2 linked regions of the Caenorhabditis elegans genome follow. The protein of the gene in region 1 purifies or fractionates together with the protein of each later gene. This does not show direct contact. Each region holds a gene or a part of one and is shown on either strand. Other genes may lie near its edges.

The links.
Region 2: the proteins of nfya-1 (region 1) and mes-3 purify together in Caenorhabditis elegans (affinity purification with western blotting, with the first as the bait; one study listed by BioGRID). This does not show direct contact.

The regions. Positions count from the first base shown.
Region 1 is NC_003284.9:11,939,824-11,948,660, reverse strand, and holds nfya-1 (Nuclear transcription factor Y subunit nfya-1), read left to right. Parts: upstream 1-1,822; 5' UTR 1,823-1,858; coding exon 1,859-2,050; intron 2,051-2,336; coding exon 2,337-2,667; intron 2,668-2,710; coding exon 2,711-2,803; intron 2,804-2,863; coding exon 2,864-2,934; intron 2,935-2,990; coding exon 2,991-3,077; intron 3,078-3,124; coding exon 3,125-3,209; intron 3,210-3,336; coding exon 3,337-3,564; intron 3,565-3,640; coding exon 3,641-3,767; intron 3,768-3,822; coding exon 3,823-4,057; 3' UTR 4,058-4,376; downstream 4,377-8,837. Other genes in the region: F55G7.3 (BLVR domain-containing protein), read left to right, coding at 6,610-6,855, 7,084-7,234, 7,280-7,371, 8,072-8,180, 8,225-8,325. UniProt on the Caenorhabditis elegans protein: Component of the sequence-specific heterotrimeric transcription factor (nfya-1-NF-Y) which specifically recognizes a 5'-CCAAT-3' box motif found in the promoters of its target genes to regulate their expression and control cellular identity in particular tissue types.
Region 2 is NC_003279.8:4,995,095-5,007,615, forward strand, and holds mes-3 (Polycomb protein mes-3), read left to right. Parts: upstream 1-1,744; 5' UTR 1,745-1,749; coding exon 1,750-1,801; intron 1,802-2,422; coding exon 2,423-2,641; intron 2,642-2,701; coding exon 2,702-2,865; intron 2,866-2,916; coding exon 2,917-3,001; intron 3,002-3,547; coding exon 3,548-3,799; intron 3,800-3,846; coding exon 3,847-3,991; intron 3,992-4,298; coding exon 4,299-4,425; intron 4,426-4,477; coding exon 4,478-4,596; intron 4,597-4,695; coding exon 4,696-4,752; intron 4,753-5,142; coding exon 5,143-5,257; intron 5,258-5,306; coding exon 5,307-5,593; intron 5,594-5,639; coding exon 5,640-5,763; intron 5,764-6,460; coding exon 6,461-6,720; intron 6,721-6,767; coding exon 6,768-6,831; intron 6,832-7,061; coding exon 7,062-7,256; 3' UTR 7,257-8,108; downstream 8,109-12,521. Other genes in the region: Decapping nuclease dom-3, read left to right, coding at 8,371-8,485, 8,535-8,640, 8,684-9,019, 9,068-9,152, 9,251-9,790; F54C1.8 (uncharacterized protein), read right to left, coding at 9,866-9,971, 10,237-10,327, 10,380-10,557, 10,603-10,651, 10,698-10,918; sst-20 (Sperm Specific Transcript), read left to right, coding at 11,740-11,944, 12,289-12,521. UniProt on the Caenorhabditis elegans protein: Component of a Polycomb group (PcG) complex. PcG proteins act by forming multiprotein complexes, which are required to maintain the transcriptionally repressive state of homeotic genes throughout development.

The sequences.
Region 1 (8,837 bases):
TTAACATAGAATATTAAAAACATGAAAGAAAAAACCAACTTGTTATTTTTTCACATAACGTAATGGAATTTTAAACAATTCAAAAAAAATTTATAAACCAAAGACATTGTGAGAAAACACCTAGAATATTTAAGTTACAGATGACCATTTTCGGAAAACGGCAGATGGTGTGCAGCGTGCGCGGTTGCGTCGCGGCTCTGTGCACACTAGGAAATGAGAAACAGAGTCTTGAGGACTGTACGGGACCAGTTCAAAACACTAATCTGTCGTCAAACGTTGCGCCGTCTGTGCATTCAGTCACTGAGATGTTTGCGGACTTGGTTGTTTTCCTTCTTTTTTTGCGGTTGTAAAAAACAATGGAACCAAACAAAATGAAATGCCAGGTGTATTTGATTGGAAATCTTTAATAAATTAATACAATAATTTTATTGAACAATATATCATGTATTGTCTATTTTGTTTAGAAGTTTCAGAATGAACCCCAATGCTATAAATTATGTGTTGGGATCTTCTTAAATCTGATCTTAAAAGTTGAAATAAAATTTGTGTAACGTTATTTCATTGTCAGCGACGAACTACTGTTATTTTTCTCGTAATACCTCAATACATAATTAATCAGCAATTAGGGTCTTTTCAAGCATAATGCTATCCATTTTAGGTTTGTATAGCTTCAAGTCACATGAACTTTGGCAAAGAAGTGCACAGAAAAAAATTTTGAAGTTAAGTCGGGATACGAAGGAATCAATGCTAAGTTCGGCAGCTAGTGGAAGTCTCCTGTATGTTACAGATGTCCAGAAATTGCAAGATTGCACAAATGCTCTTGTTGATTTTAACTCCAAAACCAGGAAAATGATAGCTTATCCGTTTCAATTATTTTAGCTTATTCCCTTTTTTTCTGTGGAGGAATTTGAAAAATTTTCAATCAATTTCGGTTTTTTCAGGGTTCCTCCATGAGAATATTATTTTGATGTACATGCATACATCGATTTGTACTCCCAAATGGAAATAAATTGCTTCTCTGATCTGATTGTGAAGTCAAAATGATCAAATTTGAAGCTCCTTACAATTGGCCATCAAAGAAACATTTGCATTATTGTTAGCGATGTTGTAGAAATGTGTAAAATTCCTGAAAAGCGAGTGGAAAAAATCACTTGTAATAATTAAAAACTTCTTGCTAATCGCAATGATCCATTCGGGACGTTATCATCAGACACTTCCTAAATCAATTGGTTGTTGGATGCATATTCATCGTCGTGAAGAACAACCTTGGGGTGCGTACGTGCGCGTTGCGGTCACTACATTCTCTCTTCTCCCTCTCCTCTCTGGTCAACACAAATCGATACGAACATTGAGCGTGTACGTGAAGGGGAATTTGTCGTAAAATAGTGCGCATTGGTGCATTTGGTCGTCTCGGTGATTGCAGTCGTTGCTACTAGGGTTCGATACTACGAGACATTTTTGCATACTAGTTTTGCCATTTTTTTTCTGCAGAAATAGTTTTTGAACTTTGAGAGACACTAAAAGTTTAAAATGTAAACTTTTAAGTCATGAAGTTTTTTTCCACCGTTAGAATTCACTACTTCAAAATTATAAAAACCTTTCTTACTTTCTCTCATCTTTTTTTTCGAGAAAACTTTTCAATTATTCTGATTTTCTGAGAATTTAACATTTATTGAATGAAAGTTTTATTTAGACGTTTTGATTTAACGAAAATAATGTTTTACCATAACTTTGTCAATTTTCACCGTTTTATCGGAAAACCATATAAAGCTCAAATAGCCTCAAACACGGAATGTTTCATTATTGATTAATCATTTTTCATTTTCAGGTAAATCCAATCATCAAAAAACAAGACAAAATGAATGGAGCGTCGAGGGGCGACGTGCAGCGCCCCACTCCAGTTCAAGCTCCGGCAAAGCGACCAATTCCGCCTACAGTTTTCCGATTCGAGAAGGCATCCAAAATCGGGACTTCACTGGATACTACACCCAAAGAACTTCCCATAAGACGTCCCGTTCCACTACCAGGACCGCGTTTCGTGAAAGACGTGGTAAGATTAGTTTTTTTTTTCTCAACTTAAATCTGGCATAATAATTTGAAAAGTAATTTTAATTTTTCCTGCCAAATGAACTAAACTCGTCCCTTTCCGTCGATGAAAAAGTATCAAGAAATGTTGAAATGTTGACAAAAAGTAGGAGATGAGTTACACAGTAAAATTAAAAATACAATGAGATGTCATTTAATGGAGAAACAAATGTTGCTAAAACTCTGATGGTATTTATGAATCTTTTTTCGATGTAATCTCAAAGATAAAACTAACCCTATCTTGATTTCAGAACCCCTCACCTCCAGCTACTTCTTCGCCGAACGTTCAAACACAATGCCACCAACCTCCAGTTGTAAGATCTCAAACTCATCAAGCATCAGTTTCACAAACAACGCCTACTCAAACTACACCCTCTCAATATACTCCAGCTAGCGTTTCTACAGCTCGAGCCCCACAATTCCATAGATCGTCCCATGTTACACCTTCACAACAACAACGAATTGAACAAGCATTTGGCCCAGCTCCGGTTTCTCAATCACAACCACAGAACGGCAGTTATATCCAATATAATGAACCAAGCACATCGGTGGCATCTACGACTACCTCATTTTACAGTCCAAGTGAGTGAAGCTAAGTATATAATTTCAAAATTTTTATTTACAGACGAGTCTGAGCCCGTATTCACGCATGCAATATCTTTTAAACCCAATGAACCCGAGAATGGACAGAAAGCAAGGGAGCAACTAGAGTTGTTAGGTATGGTAAATTTTTGATATGTGTGTAAAGTCTACACTGTAAACATACTTATCTATTCAGATTCTGGAAAAATCAATGAGATTAATCAGTCAAAAGTTCCGACGACAATAGAACTGCCGCCAAACTGCAAGGTTAGGGAGTTTTACATTTGTATGTAGATCTAAAGTCAATTTAAATCTGTTTTCAGCTGTTTCAATATTCATGGGTGCTCGACGGAATACCTAGGACGCTTTTGGTTCCAATGCCAATGGATGCAACGGAAGAAGATGTGAAGGTTGATTATAAATTGTGAAAATATCTCCTACAAACATAGAGTTTCAGGCAATGCTTCCAAAAACGTTGGAAATGGATTCAAATCTTTTTAACAATGCTCGGCCCAGGGATGAACTACCAGTACTATCTTTCCGTAAGTCAGATATTTTTTTTCTTTTCACGGGATAATTTAAATTTACACCCAGAAAAATATATTCCGCAAAACTGCATCGGCAATAAAATTATTTTAAACGGTTCCAATGAATAATACCTTTTTTCAGCAAACGGAACAGTACCCAATGTAGAAATGATTGGTCCAAAAGTGCAACAACCCATGCTGGTCAATCCGAAGCAGTTCAACAGAATTATGCGAAGACGTGAGATGAGGCAACAGCTTGAAGCCAGTGGACGGCTCCCACTTGCTCGCCAGAAGTATCTCCACGAAAGTCGTCATCTTCATGCACTAAAACGCAAGAGAGGGCTTGATGGGCGTTTTGACAATACGAAAAGTAAGCAGATTTTCAAAAAATTGTATTAGTGGAAAGATGTTTTGAACTTGAATGTTTAATTGTTTTTACTTTCCAGCAGCCGAATCGTCATCAATGGTCAGCAGTACAACGTCTCCCAGAAAATTGAAACGCCGGAACCGCTTACCTGGTGAAGAAACTTCTGATTCGTCCTCAATAGTTCTCCCATCGCCAGTTGAAATTCAGTTAGTTTTTCTTATTTAAAATTGTTTCATTTTTCAATATGTGTGAATATTTCAGACCAAAGGGCGGGATAGTCAATTCATCGATGCCGTCGACGTCGACTGGATACATCAATAATGGCATGGATCATCAAACGGATTATATCGAGCATCAGCAACCCATGTCTACCTACGACCAATATCACGACCACGTCCAATATATCGCGCCGGATGGTAATGTGAATTACCACAACAATCATGACAATGGCGTCGATTTAACTGGAAGTGATGGACAAAGTTTCACGAATCTCTAATTTTATTAATAGCTTAATGTGTATTGCAACCGTTGCCAAACAAAATTCACCTCACCAAAATCATTCATGTTCCCTACGCTTTTTGCCACAGAAATGTACCTTCTCTTATTGACCGATCTTTTCTTCGGGATTATGCCCATTTCTCTTTCAATGTTTTCAAATTTTTTATCCTCATTATGCATTTTTTAAATCGTCATGTTGGGTTATGTCAGTCTTCAAACTATCCAATGAAAAGCTACACTTTTTTTAAAAGTATGACAGCAAAACTTCGTGTCATAATTGTCTCAAATATAAATCTGTATTGTTAAAAAGCTTCAAAATGTGCTACCACTCTAATATTGATTGTGTTCATGCAATTTGCAAACGAACATTCCCTTCATGCAAGTAAAAACATTTGAAAATTACAGTTTTAGTGTCAGCTAGCACTTTGCAGGAAACAAGCAAGGGCGGTGCCATGTGGATATAGGATTACGGCTTGATCTACAAAAATCTGACACCACATGTGATGGTAATCATGTAGTTGCTGTTCCCCAAATGCTGTTAATGAATTTATTTTTGAAATGAATAATTGTTCCGAAAATTTATTCACACAAATAATTTTTCCGAAACTTTTTCATTTCTAGGCTCAGAAATCATGATTCCTAGCAAATCTAAAAATAAAAAAAATCAGGTATTAGTTTTTCAATTTTGAAAATGTTGTGATATTTTGTGGTACGCATATTGAACAGGTTCCAATTCAATTCTGCATCCCCGTAAAATTTTTTTACTGCCACTTACTTGGAAAAAAGGGAAAAAAGAATACTAAATTTTCAATTCATCCAACAAAAAAAAAATAAAACTGAATCACAAACTGTAAAAATTTGCAATATCATGTTTGGCCATTCTCGTTGTGTTAGGTGTCATAGTCAGTCCACCAATGCGTTCACATTTGTCGAAATCACAAAGAACGACATCTCAATGTGAATCGTTGTTTTGAACACTTGTGATAAGTTCAATAAACATTTCAATAAGACATGAAAAAATAAACCACATATTATCAAAAAATATCAATCGCACAGGCCACGTGGCTTTTGTTTTTTATTTCTTTTTTATTTACGCTCTTCCCACAACTTTATTTTCAAAGATAATTTAAAAACTGAACTAAAGGTCAGACGTGGGAGGAGCGTAAATAAAAAAGAAATAAAAAACAAAAGCCACGTGGTCTGTGCGATTGTTATTTTTTGATAATAATATAATGTTACTTGAAAACTATTGTTCTAAAACAAATGTGTCTGATACAAAACTGCGAACATATTTTTTGCATAAATCAAACTTATTTAACGCTTTTATGACAATAAAAAATTGCATTGACTCACAAGACAACCCCCCAGTTGTCCCACTTCAATCCACTATAAAATTGTTTCTCTACAAATTTTACAAACATGTTTCAAGTTGTTGGCATTAGAATTTTGGGTAACACTGTTTTGGCACGCCCAAAAAAATGTTCAACCAGTTCCAACTGACAATTTTTCAACATAAAGTATGAATTGTTCAGAAACATAATAACGGCACATCTCACTATTTTTGAAAGCTCACAATGAGTTTGATTATGCATCTGAAAAAATTATATTTCGAGGTTTTTCACATACGCGTTCTAGAAAAACTTGTTTCACGTAATATATCAATTGTTAAAAACGTCATTAATAATCTTTTGATTTCACACATGACTCTCACAATAGGAGCAAAGTTAACACCCCTGACGTTTATTTTTGCAATTTTGGTAGATTTTCATTTGTTGACGTCGCAACTCATTAACTCCTCCTCACGTGTCTCCCCTATCAAGTATGAAAACATCAATTATATTTGTACACTTTTGCAATAAGTGTACCCTCTATGCGTCAAATCCACTAATGAATCTCAATTATCCATTTCGTAACTTAAATTTTTGTTCTTTTGAATTTTACACCTTGGATTTTTTTTAGCTAGTTTCCTTATTTTTGTTTTTTTTTCTCCCTATATTTCAATTTCTTATCCATTTTTTTTATTTTTCTGGCCAGCGTGGACCTTCCTTTTGCTGTGCCTGAATTGTTTCTCTATTTTCTCTATTTTGATTAATTCTTTACATTTTATGACTTGACGTTCAGAACCGATTTGCCCACAGTCTATTCGAAAGTAGTTTCTGCGAAACCACCGAAAGTCTGGTTTCGGAGTGGTTAAATTGCATTTCTGATTTTATGATTCGAGCTTATGTTGAGTATATAAACGTAAAATACCCCCAAACCGTTATTCCACCTTTAAGATCTCGGCTACCTCGGTTTTGCTATTCACCTTCGCAACTTCACACGTGTCTCCCATAGCAACTAAAAAAGCATTAATTAGCTTTCTATATATCTTCGCAACACATTCAGATGTATGTATGCGCTACATCGCCGTATTCTAACTTTTCCGTATGAACCACATGAACCACGTGGTTTATGAATCAAAACATGATTTTGCATCTGTGCCCATTCTCTTAGCTTATTTCCGTCCTGTTTTGTTGTTCCTTGATCTAAATGTTTCTTTTTCAGTTAATCATGGACCCTGAATTCTTAGACTCACAATCAGATGAATCATCCGACGACTCGTACGATCCCAGTTACAATCCAAAGCTAGGGAGCGGATTTTTATCTGTCACTAAAATTAGTGAGAAAATGAGAAAATCGCAATTAAAAGAGCGTCGACTCAGGAAGCAATCCAAAGTATCAAAATGTGCAAAGAAACTCAAGAGAAAGGTGCCAACCAGACAAATCGTTACAAATAAACCAGAAAATCTATATAAAGTGAGTTACCTTATTGGTTTTTATAATTTCTATAGACCACATAAGGAGAAAAAAATTTGCCATTGCTGCAAGTTTTATTCGTCACTTACTGAATTTTAGGGTATGACTATTTCGGTGTGATTTAGTAACAAAACTTCGCCATTAGTTAATTTCTTCTTCATACAATTTTGTAGTAGAGAGTGAATGAATTGCAAGATCTTTTTAGCTAGGTATATGGGATTCATTCAGGAACATCGTCAGGGTCCAAATACAAGAAGCAATGAGTTGTCAAATCAGGAAAGCCTTCCAATCGTGGGAACTTACAGCCAAAATATGAGCGAGACCACTGTGGAGCCCTTATTTCAAGCATCCAAGGATTTGCATATTGACGCTTCCGATGGTAAACTCAACTGTAAAAATATTTTTCACAAGATAGATTGTTCAGCAATGGACACAAACGAAGACATGTCTACTTTTGCCAGCGAAGAAATCAACGTAACTTTAGGATCAGATGAAGAGAAAAAACAAAATAGTACTGTAAGTGAATTTTTATTATGCTTTGGAGTTATACTTATTTGAAAAAGTAGCGAAATCATCAAAAAAAACTAAAAGTGGATATCTTTTTGGCCAGCACTGTATGTTTTTTTTTGAAATAAGAATTTTATTAAAAAGTTTTGGCACACTTGTTTTATGCTTATAGTTTGAAAGTTTCTGACGTTTTTGGTTTTCTTTCCTCTTTAACTGCATTGTCCATTTTAACAATCGTGACAAAGTTGTTGAACTAGTTATATTTATTATTTTTGAATATTTTTAGGAATATATGAATTCTGAAAATCAAACGCAAAGTTAGACATTTATTTTTTGCACAATACGCGTGTAGTCTTCTCACATAGAGCTATGAAAAAGTCATTAATTCAACTTGGATTATTAGATTAGTTTCTGCAAAATAAATTTCTATAATATGTTGCACTAACAAACTAGATAAAAATTGCGTTTTGAACGTTTGCTGCTCATAAATAGTTTAACAATCTGATCAATCTAATATTTGAATAAAAGACAATAACGGTTACAAAGAAAATCTGACATTCTTAGAAAAATAAACAAGTTATGTAATCCGAGACACGGCTTGTTATAGAGAGATTTTATAAGATCTGAAAATTAAAAACAGGTCTTATTCTGAAAAAAAAACACATTCATACTTGATAATACAATTTAACAACATTACAATCTTTAATAGGGACGGGGTGATACCGACAGTGGTACTTCAAATGCTAACATCATCGGAATCGATTTTGAGAAAGAAGGGCATCAAAATTCAAATAGTGCATCAGTAGCGAAACCTATCCGTAAGTCATGTTTTCATTTTTACAAAACAATTGCAAACTTTCAGATAAAGTTATATTCTCTCCGGCCATAATGCCACCTGAACACCCTACCAGTGTTGTAATACCGCAAAACAAGTACTACCGAATCATTCGAATCAGTTGTTGATAACGTGTCAAAATGTCAAGTTGGTCAGAGACAATTTAAGTTTTTATTCAAGATCAAGACATCAGACGCTTCACGGCCTTTCCACGTGCAAGTTGTCAAAAATACTAAAAACTCAAACGGCCATAACATTTCATCCTCGAATACACACAACATTGAAGCAACTCCGAAAATTGAATTATCATCATGCGCTCAATCAAAAATCATCAAGAGCCAATCTAGTATCTCCCAAGATGGTTTCAATTGCTCTTGCAACCCCTCAAACGCCATGCTTAACCAGTCTTGTACATCCTGCATTCAACAAGACAAAATCGCAGAAATGAGCACTCAAAAATTTCAACCAAAAAATATTGCTGGTTGTGAATTGGATATCCAACCACTTGTTTCGGCAGAAGCATCACATAGAAGCCTGTTTATTTTTGAAAACTCTACGGCTGAAGAAACTACACATAGTTTCAATGAACGTCATAATCTGCTTTGTTCGAAGGAAAGAGGCAATGAAAAAATGAATAATG
Region 2 (12,521 bases), on another chromosome or scaffold:
GTACTCCTCTCGGACAATTAATAAATTGTTTAATTTTGGATGTTTGTAGAGGTTTTTCGTGTTTTCTCATGATTTTACGGGAATCCTTTTGATTTTTTTGGTTAAAAACAAATTATTGGTGGTCTATGAATGCATTTTTCACTGTAAAATAGTGGAAACCGCCGTTATCCTCTTGAGAAAGTTCTAAAGTTCCATAAATTGTTCAGTTTCGCGGTTTTTCATTGAATAATTTGTAATTATTGTTTTTCGAACGTACAATTATCAAAAGAAAATCACGAAAAATCGCCAAATATTCCAAAATTCGATCGAATGGAGGTTTATTCTTCATTCCCTTCAAAATAGATTTATAATAATCTCTTGTTCGAACACTCCCTCTTCCCGCAGCGAAAGTGTAATAAAATGTCCAATAATCTAGCTAGATCTAGTTCAATAACTCATCAATTATATTGCCCTTTGATGTAGTTTTATAATGTCATAAAGTGCACACTTCTAAGAGTGGGCAGCTAAAAAATGCACTTGTTGCTCTTTTTTTCGCACCCTTCATACTTTTTTGGATCGATTTCTTTCATTTGATATTCATAATGACCTAATGTTTCCGCTGTACACTGTATCTGCACTCACGTGATGGGTCTCGCCACGGTAATAATATTACAAAATGATTTTGCCTATGCGTCTTTGAGTTTACTGTAGAAAATTAGTAATACATTTTTCAGCTCTACTTCTTTCTTCGCAGATTATTTTTCTGTGAGAACAAGAATACACAATTTATCCATTTCCATTCAATGAAAATGTATGACAGCGTGATTTCGATAAATCAACAATTGAATCCTTTTTCTTTAAACTTATAACTTCAATTGACATATTTTTAATTTCATTGTAAAACTTGGAATATAATTTCGTTGGTTTCAGTCTCTCATCCGTTCCAAATTATAATTCCAAACTCTCGAACGCGGAGACATGCGCACGCTCCTCTTCCTTTCCCTCGAGTAGGCGTCGCTCCTTCTCTTTTATTGATTTGTCGTGCTCTCCGCTCTTGTTTGAACGCGACCAATATGACTCATTTTTTTAATATTTAAAGTTTTTAAGCACATGCATAGTGCATTGCTCGCTTTCTACCTCTACGCGTTGTTCATGGCTCTAAAAACAAAGAGCGTACATTTTTTGAAATTCTATTTAAATAAATAAAATTATTATTGAGAATTCATCCGAAATATCTGTGAAATATCAAGCCAAACATATTTTTTATAATCCTAAAGTTAATAAAATTAAAATAAAGTATAGTCATTTTGTAAATTTGCTCAAAATGACAGAAAATGGACCGTAATAACCAAATATAGATGTTAAACATGCATAGAACTTTTCTAAATTTTTTTTTTAATTTTGCAAAAAGGTTCTTACGGTACATTTTTAATCAACCATTAAGTTTTACAAATCTTCATAGGTATAATTTTTTAATGAACAAATTGTTTGACTGGCAATAACCACGCATTCCTTCATTCGATTCCTTATCGAACCAGCCGTCTGTCTGAATATGATGTGAATTTCTTTTTTATTCTGCGTCTCCTCAATTGACATACTCTCTACTCAGTTTCCCAGAACGAAGTCTCTCTCATCTGACATTATATCTTTTTTGCGCTGTTCGTTTCACATTTTTCTTTCTCTCTCTCTCTCTGATTGGCGATTTCGAGATAAATCGATAATCTCGATCTTTGCTAAACTATTTTAAAACACAAAAAATCATTGCAGGGTATGACTCCGGCGACGGCAGAGGTGAAAGTTGGAGGGAGAAAACGGAAGAATGGTTAGTTGGAGAATAGGACATTTACTGGAATTTACAAAAATCAAATTCTTAAAATCAATTTTTAATTAATTTTGAAACATAAATCCCAATCGCGCCGAGACCCGCGTATTCTAACACAACGCTCACCTTTAAAAATAGTTAATTTTTTATTCGAGAAACTCGGCCTGAAACTTTTTATTTAACTTCTTGTTTAAATTGTAATTTAAACTATTATAATTAAAGTTTTTCCTGTTTTCTTAATTTTTCCACCAGTGAAAATTATTTTCGGCAATTCTACAAAATTACCTATTGTGCCATTTTGTTCCATCATATTTTATTACAAAACAGTGTCAAAAAATAGAAAATTACTTGAATTATCTAAAAATAACATTTATTTAAGCTGAAAAAATTTGAAAAATTGTTCAAAAATGGCTTGAAATTCGATGTTTCGTTTAATCAGCAATTGGCAACTCTCAGGCCATTTTTGAACACTTTCCCAAAATTTTATGCTAAAATAAATGAAATAAATGTTATTTTCAGATCAATAAAGTAATTGTCTATAGTTTGAAATTAATTTTTTTTCTGTCAAATTATAGTAATTTTTAGCATTTTTGAATTAATACTTTAAGCTTATTTTTGCAGATGAGCCGGTTTTTATCAAGACAAAACAATCGAGGTCAGCTCGTCGAGAAGAAGAAAAAGAAAATCTTTTGAACAAATCTCTTCCGTCAACTCCAACTTCATCAGAGGCCGGAAGTTCTCGGGAATCTTCAAATCCAGTCACAAGCTCCAGTAGACGAAAGAATCCACCTACCAAATTAGAAAATATTCAAAAAACGTTGCCGACTTGCAGTGACGGACGTTAGTTTTAAAAATCATTAATTAAAATCTCAATTTTTCTATTAATTCACATTTTTTCAGTTGAAATTCGCAATTATGTGAAAAAATATGGATTGCCGGAAGATAACAAGTTTCTCGTTCGTAATGTCTTCGACAAACAATTATTATTTGGAAAGAAATATGTGTGTAGAAGGCGTGTGATTAAAAGCATCGATGAATTTTTCCCGCGACTAAAGACCGATGCGGTTTGTTTGAATTTTTGATGGATTCATTTGCAAAATAAATTTTTCTTTCAGCACAGAGAAAATGGTTTATATAATTTCTGTACTCTACAATTCATGAAAATATCCTCCTGGGGAAGTTCGATGGATGAGAAGATTTGTTAGTTTATTTTTGAAAATTTTGAAAAATTTGAAACGAAATCTCGATAAAAACACTTAATTCGAAAAAGACCAACAGAAAATCACTTTGAACTAAAAATATCTATTCAATATTGATTGAAACCATATTTCACAAGAAATAAAAGTCTTTTTGAAATTTGGTTTTAAAAAAAATTATTTTTTTAATTAAAAAAGTCAAAAAAAATTGAAAAGTTCTGATTTGCATTATAAAACAAAAAATGAATTAAACTCAATAAATATATAGCCAGAAAACGCGAAAATGTCGGAATTCGCTTTTTTTTTCAGTTTTTGCAATTTCCTAAAATCACACAAAATTTATAAAAATTATTTTTTTCCTATAGTTTAAAGCAAATTTAATGATTTTGAAATGTTTGAGGTTTTTTTTCAAAAAGTAAGAACAATATTTCCAAAAAAATGAAATTATTTTCTAATTGTAAATTAAGATTCAAAAATACACACACACATAGTTTTTTTCGGTTTTAAAATTATTTTCTCATTAATTCATTAAAAAAAAGAACATTTTCAGATGTTACTTCTGCTGCAATTGTTCAAAGCTACGTGATAATTGTCGACGATAATGATTCAGTCACCTGCATTGAAAATGGAATCTCAGTTATTCCAATGGCGAATAGAACGTTACCATCTATCTCCTATAACAGTTCAAATGTAAAAAATATCACTTTGACGGGCCCTGAACTGAAAAAGGCAAAAAACGTATATCTCGCAGTGATTGTGAAACGAAAAACACCAAAACTTGGAGAAAATCGAGTTGGGACAAGTGAGTGAAATCATTTCTTTTTTTTAAATAAAAAGTTTCTTTTGTAGGAGGAAAATCAACTCGAGCATCATTCGAAACGGCTGCTTCCTCAGAAAACTTTCAGCAACTTGTTCGTTTTGGGTGCACTTTGATGTATGATAAGGATGCTGAAATTAACTGCCTAAATGACGGAGTTCAACGTATTATCTTACTGTAAGTCGCTTTAAAATTATAAATGCAAAAATTTAAAAACTTAAAAATTCAAAAAAAATTAAAATACTTTAAAAGTTTTTTTTTCCAAAATTTATCCGAAGGTGAATCTATAAAATTAAACTGGCCTGCTAATTTTTTAAAAAGGGGGTTTTCTGAAGATTTTGAGCGAAAACTGTTGTCAAAATAAATAAAAAACTGAAAAACATTTTTTTTCGAGAAACACGCGCTCAAATTGACGGGTATACGGTAGAAAATATTTTTTCAAAAAAAATTGTATAATGAAAAATATTGCTCTTGATTTTTCCAGTGATCGAGAAGAAAAGCCAGCGTATTTGAAAATTTTCGGGAAGGCCGATGAACCGGAACTCGAGAATGCTTGGATGAATAATGTTAAGCATTTGGAGTTTATAAGCGATACAAATTATAACAAAGAGGTAACGATGAAGAGTTAATAAACTTTTATAAATAATTGATTTTTTTCTACAGGATTCTCATCTCGCTCGTCTAATCTTCTCTTCAAATACTCATAATTATTTCGATAGACCGGACATTTCAAAATTCTCTCCATGGCAGCCGCGATCCAGAAGGACGACACTAAAATCTGGGTGAGAAATTCGATTTTTTCTCTTTTTTTAATTTTGTTTTTATCTGGTTTTTGCACGACCGTAATCCCGCACGCTTATTGTGTTTTCCATCATTTTCAGAATCTCCGTCGAGCCAGGAACGAGTTGCGATGAGGATTGTGGATCGCAATATGAAGAGTTCGTTTTTGATCCCTACCACCTGATTTTTTGTTTGAATATCTAATTTTTAAATCACTAAGTTTGCTGGATTTTTTCCCTTACAGAATTTCTAATTTCGGGTGCATTTCTTCTTTTTTCTTAGTTGGCTGTAATTGATACCTTCCAAATAGCTTGTCGTGATTTTTGAAAACCGTGAAGCTGCATTTCAGAATTTTTGAGTTAAAACTGGGGGGTTTTGTCCAAAATTACAGAAGGCAATCTGCATACACCGGATAGAACTTCAAAAAAAATCATCTAAATTTTATAGTTAATCACTCACTACATTGGATATTCGCGGAACTTCATGTTTCTATCCAACCATAGATCATCTAACTGTTCTTCAAAATTGTTTAGAAAATATAATTACAGTACAATCACTCTCAAGCAGTTACTCCTTGGAACGAAAAAGCTATGCGGAAGACGTAAGAGACATTTGACCCGACTCACTTCAAGATGGCCGTGTTTTTCAGTCGATCCGACGAAGGTAATTCTTAAAAAACTATAATTTCAAAGCTTAAGTGCAATTATTTCAGATCAATTCATATTTCAATGAAACTGGTGTCACTTTGCTGGAAAATTCGTGTTCCTACCGTCCTGGAACTCAACGAAGCATTCCAATAAAACCTACCCGAGTGATCAGAGTTAGAGAAGAAACTCCAGTTTCCGTTCCAATTGAGGTTATTACGATTGAAGATGATTCAGATGATTCACCATGTTTTTCTGCGAGAAATCGAGCACCAGGTGGAACACGGAAATATGGATTAGATTTTATACAATCTTCGGGTCATATGCCATATATTCGTTATGTTTATATGAACAGGTAATTTGATTTAATGCAATCCAGTAAAAAAATATATGATTTGCAGAGCAAATGACTTAGTGCCCCAGCTGAATGGCGAAGAAAATGGAAAAATCGAAGGTCTTATGGAAGCATATCCGATGAATAATGCTCACATGTATTCAGATATTGAGTTCCTGAGAAAAGAAAAAGTAAGAATTGTTTTTAAAAAAAAGACATAAAAGTTGTAATAATTTTCGCTTTTTTCACTAAAATCGAAAATGGAATTTTTTGTTTCGATTTACTGATTTTTGCAAAAATAAAACAAAACTTTAAGATTTTTCTTTTTTCCGATATTTCGAAAAAATTGCATAATTTGTTTTCTTTTTAGAAGCAATTTGTATGTATTTCTGAAAAAGCGAACAAAATTGTTTCCTGAAGGCGAAATCTATTTTTCCCTCAAAAACCCAAAAAAAAAAAAAAAAGTGAGAAAGGAAAAATTGAGAACCTTTCATTATATTTTTTGAATTTTTTGAATTGACTCCAAAAACAGGAAAAAAAAAACAAAAAATCCCAGCCTTGATTACGATATTAAAAATTTTCTATTGTGACATGTTGCTCCAACAATTTGTATTTAAAATTAATGTCAAAATATAGAAAAACACTCGAATTATCTGGAAATAACATTTATTCTGGCTGAAAATTTTGAAAAAGTACTCAAAAAATGTCCTGGAAGTTGCTGATTGCCAATTATCGAATTATTGAATTTCAGGTAATTTTGAACACTTTCTCGAATGTTTTAGTTGAAAAAAAGTTATTTTCAGATAATTCTAGTGATTCCTGCACTGAACACTAAAAAAAACTTGTCGCCGCAAACAAAAAAAATTAAAGCAAAATTACAAATTTCAGTTGAATCTTCCGAAGAATGCTCAAAAATATGGCGAAATGACAATTCTTGACTATCCACTAACGAAGACGGAAACGGACGAATATAATAAAAAGATGTCTGTGATGAATGTCAAAGATTTTGCGGTTAAACCCAGAAAACCTATTCCAACAGTCGGAAATACCACTTTAAGTTTGGATTTGGAAGGATGTCCTATATCGACATTTTCAGAAATATTCTTCCCAAGTGGAAAAACTGAACTATTCAATATTCTATGCAGACAGTAAGTGTTATAATATTAAGTCATATATTAAAACCCAATTTTTGAAGTTTCTACTCTGAAGCTGGACAACGCCCTGGATGCTTCTCAGCACAATGGAAATCTAGAGTTTTGGTGAGTTTATTGAACATTCAGGACTAGATTGGCAAACGTACGGAATTGCTTAGTACAGTATTTTTGAATCAAAACCTTTAAACTTCTTTTCAACGAAAATGAAAATTATTTTCAGAGTCTTTGATTCTACAAAAAATGAATTAGCGTACTAAAATAAGCATCTCAACACTTTTGCCAAGATTTGCCTTAACTTAGAACGCATTTTTGAATTTTTCATAAATAATTTTCAGACTGGCTTCATCAACAAATACCATCAGTACATTTTCGACATGAAATTGAATTCTTTATTCGAGAAACAAATAAATCTCATCGCTATGGTCAGCCCTGACTGGAAATTAGAAGATTTTGAATTGCCCATGGTTCGATATAAGCAATTGAAAAAAGAATGGAAAAATCGCCAACGAGATATACCATCTTCTAATTAGATTATCCCCTTTTTTCCTTGTATCTTTTTCTTTTTGGAAATCCTGTGTTTAATCTCTTTTCCATTTATCAATCAACTATACCAAATCGTGGTGGGTGGCAATTCTACTAAATGACATTAAAAATTAGTCTGAAAACATAGAAAATAATTTGATTCTTCTGCAAATAACATTTGTTTCAGTTGAAACACTTGAAAAAATGATTAAAAATTACCTGGAAGTTGGAAATTGTCGAATTTTGCTATTCGGCAATTGGAAACTTTCAGACTATTTTTGTGCAATTTTCAAATCTTTCAGCTGAAATAAATGTTATTTTCATATTTTTAAATAAATTAATTTTCTATTTTGAGACTAATTTTTAATGAACAATATTGGCCAATTTATGGAATTGCCAAAAGTAATTTCCACCCACCGCTGATCCCAAAAATACTACAATTTTTAGCACCTTTTGACCCAAAGAACGTCGTACTTCAATGATCTTCCAGATTACACGAGTCATCACTAAGTTTTTCTTCATTTCTTTTTCTTTCATTTAAGTTTTTTTCTATCCATTTTATAAGTTCTTTCCTTGATTGTTCTCTGCTCTACAACTCTTCTTTCTACTCACACTCCATGGATGTTGTGAAGCTTCTGTTATTTTGGAAATTTTATAATTTTACACAACTATTTGTACTATCCACTTTCAAGTTTTAATATTATCATTTTATCTCTCTGTTTTTTTAATCAATATTTTGACAAAAAATTTCATTTGCCAAAATTTTTTGTAACAATCAACTATATCATTAATGCCACACCTATAAAATGCTTAAACATATGTCCGGATTTATTGGGAAGTTAAGAAATAATTGTCGTATGGTCAGAAGTTTAAAATATACCTCAAGCTTTAAAAAATCGGTTATAACTCCAATCAAGGATGCCATGGAAAATTTTTGGCACTCGTCGTATTTCCGAATTTTCGACAATTCGACAAAAAAAAGGCATTTTTTGAAAATCTTAAACTCAAAATCTCCAACTTTTCCAAACTACAGTAATCCTACAGTAACCCTACATTGTGGTCTACCGCTGCTCCAAATTGTCAAAAACATTAAAATTCAATCATTTAGAAAACACTAAAAAAATGTCGCACTATGGCGGAAATCCACGTGGAAACTCATCACACCAGTTTGGACGAAAAGATTTCCAACAATCAGATTCTAAACACATTCCGAAGATAACTGGTCAGCCGCTACCTAGTGAGTTTGTAAACTCTTGAAAACTTTTAAAAAATGAATAATGTTTCAGATGAAGTACAAATTCCGTTTGACAATATGATTTACGAGACAAGAAATCCACCGAAATTCGAGAAACAAGCAAAGTTCATCTCAGAGTACTGTATCAATTATGACAGGTTTCCGATATTATAGAGATTTTGAAAACTTGATAATTTTCAGGAAGCTTCAACTTGGAAGAATGCGAGCCAAAAAGTTCCATGATAAACTTCCTCCAAACAATTTGTCGCTGGATCTAGGAAAAGGTTTTGAAACTTTTGATCCAAAAGAAGGAGATGAAAAGATTATAATGCTTCTTGAATGGATTAATCAAATGGCTCCAGAAGGTGGAAGACTTAAGAAAGTTATTCACGAGGCTGATGTAGTATGCTGGAGAGGATTGATTACAAAGATATGTTCAACAATTTACAATAAAGAAGAAGGATGGAGAATAGACGCGATTAAACGAAAAGGCGTCATTTTTCTGTGTGAAGAGAAGACAGAGCAGGCCAAAAATAGGTAAGAATTTGTGTTTTCTTTGAATATTCAATAGTAACATTATTTAAGAGATCTCAATCAAACCGACTTGGACAAAAGAATGAGCTACTGGGGACACAAGTTCGAGCAATATGTTACGCTCGACGATGATGCGGTACGTATTATTGGGACGCAGAAAAATGTATATGCGTCTTCATAATAAATCAAGAAGAAATCCAACTTCAAATAATTTTTAATCCATTTAACTTCCAGGAACAACCAGACACTTCAAGTCCAGTGACAACGAAAGAAGAGTATGCAGTTGTATTTCGGAATGATCTTCAAACTGATCAACGTCTTAATCCTGAAAAAAGGTCAATTGGGATATTCTATTCGGGAGAAGTTGATTGTCTGGATAGACACGGAAATATGCTCGAGCTAAAAACTCAGAAAGGCGAGCTCGGTCATGGATTCTACAAATACTCAAAATCCTTCAAATGGTGGCTTCAATCATCATTGGTCAACGTCGATCACATCATCGTCGGACTTCGAACACAGGAAGGCCACGTCAAATCGTTGACGTCACTGCGTACCCGAGAGATCCCACAGCGAGCCTCATGGAATTTCAGAGCCGGCTTCGAGTTTCTCTCCACAATTTTCACTTATATTCTTAACTGCCTTGAGAAGGACGGAGATGCGTGTGTTATAGAATATCGCAGTGAGATGGGTATTCATAAAGGAATTCAAATGAGAAGAGTACCGGTAGATGAATTCGATTTTGTGCCGAATGAGTTCCTCGAAAAGTTTTGTTGATAAATATTTTTATTGTTGTATAATTCTATTTATATGAACTGTTTTTGAGAAATTCTTTATTCAGACACCAGACTTTCAATAATCCATCACAGCGATTTCGGTCGATCCCATTTTTTTCTCAGGTGTACACGAGCGATCTCTTTTCTTTCTTCTTTCAGTCTCCAGAGTTAATTGACTTTTACTGGAAATTCAAATTTAATTATATTTATTTAATTATAATTATTACTTTATAAAGTTGATTCTCCCAGACGCGAAATTGTACAATTTTTACTTTAAAAATACGGTACCTGGTCTCGACACGACAATCTAATTTAATTTAAAACGGGCGCCTTTAAAGACGCACGCCCTTTTCCTCTTAACATAAATTTGTTGCTGCGAGACCGGGTCTTGTAGTTTTGTGATAAAAATCGAAACATTTCGCATCTGAGTATTAGATTATTTCTTACCAAGATCTCATCAAAAACACATAGAAACAAAAGATGCCGAGAACAATTTTCCAAAGAGTCACTACAAGAGCGACAATGAACAGATAAAATACTGAAAAAAAAGGTTTTTTCTTGTTAAAGTCTAAAAATGATTCTCTTCTCACCACAATTCTCATATTTCTTATCGATGCCAAGTGAAGGCAAACGTTGAAGCAAATAGATTGTGTCCATGAAAGTCAACGACTCGAGCCCAATGGTTATTCCTGAGAAAACCGTCAGTACAATGTAGATGATTCGGACCGATTTGAAAATTAGAACAAATGCGAGCAAACCAGCAAAGATCTGAAAAAATTGGATTTTAGTTTTTGGAATCAGGGCGGAGCTGACATCAACAGCTGCGAAACATCTTCTCGTTATGATTGCGACTTCCCGGGTTCTGAAAAATGTTCAAACTTTCAAAAAGTTTCAAAAATCCAACTCACTCGAAATTAGAAGTGGCAGCATAAAATTGAGCAATTCCGAAGAGAATGCAAAAGACGCAATACAGGCCTTCAGGCCACAGTCCGAATCGATCCCTCTTCTGGTTCGGACCAATATTGTGCTCATCGACAATCTCGAGAACAGACACATTTGAATTTTCATGCTTCGTTTCCTTATTTGAACTTGAATTTGAATCCTTCTTCATCGATTTCTTAGAATTCATTTTTTCGTCTTTTTAACGACGAAAATGAGGGAATGAATACATCTCAATTTTTAATTATTTTCAATTGAAATTTTACTTTAAAAAAAACGTGGAACGGGTTATTCGATTTGAAAATTTATTTTTCTTTAAAATTTATCCACGATTTTCTGTTTTAGAATCCAGTTGTCGTAATTCTAAATAATTTGAAATAAAGCTGAAATCACTTCCCACAGTAGGTAGGCATGTGAGCTAATTGTAGGTACTAGGCATGCCCTTTGCAAAGACAGGCATGCAGACACTTTGTCATCAGGCAGGCACGTAGGCAGCCAAGGAATTATGATGTGAGCAGATCCACGTTAGCTTGAAAATGTGTCTGCCTACCAAAAACAGACGCTCAACAATTCTAGGAAAAACAATTCTTGCATTTCTTCCTTGAAAAATATGACAAATTAAACGCCGCCTGGTCTCGATTCGGAAGATCCGGGTTTCTGGTCACAGATGGTTTCAGGTTTCAGTGGAGACATACAGGCATAAATTAGGCACGCAGGTGGCCAGGTAGGCCTGCCTGCCTATCTACACGTAGATTATTTCATACTGACCAGTTTCCTATCAAATTCATAGTTTGTATTTCTTGAACGTGAACTTTTTCCCTCCCCCCCCCCGCAATTTCAATTGTCCACGTATTCCAAATTGCAAGTCCAGAAAGAAAAAAATGTTTATCATCAATACCGCCCGAATCATTCCGTCCTTCATCGACAACTTCCATCTCTATCATAGCATTTTGAGTAAGTTATTTCTCCATCATTAACACTTCTCAACAAAATCATCATCAGGAAAAGAACATGTCACTCACAAAAGATGGTTCCGTAGCTGTGACCATTCTCCAAGCAATCATCTTCATTCAATTCGGCTTGTGCGTTGCGATCACAATTCTGACAACCGTCGGAATCTCATTTGGGTATCCGGTGGCTTCTCATTACCTTATGGCTCTTCTTCAGGCATTGGTGGCAATTCCGGGAATTGTGTACATTGTGACACAGACAAACAGTTAGTTTTGCTTCTATTGAGTTGTCAACTGCATGGAAGGCACCTCCACGTGGAGATCGGAAAATTATGATTTTTCTGTAAAATACTCAGAATATGCCAGAATTTCTTCCAAATTGACAAATGCGAGACCAATCAGTAGAAGTGTACAAAGTTCGATGTCGTTGATTGGCTCGAAAGAGGGTGTGGCATCTCATTTAGGAGGAAATTCAATTTTTAGACATTTTCATTGCGTGATATTTCAACATATTGAAATGTTCTGTCTATTTTAAAGAAAAATATTCATTTTTGGAACTAACAGAAATGTCTTCGGCAACTTTTGCAAAAAATCGCTTGTAATATTTCAGTCTGGGTGGCAGTCTACATCAGCTTCCAAGTGGTAACCGCCGCGTGTGAAGTCTACTGGCTCGTCTACTTGATCTTCGACAATCAACCCGCTGGATCTTGGATCGCACTTGCAATTATCACAGCCGTCAACATTTTGGCAGCTGTTGTCGGTGTGTGGTTCCGCAAAACTGCTTTGAACCTTCCATGCCTTGATAAGAAAACGAAAAAGGCTGGTGATGCGAAGAAGGAGAAG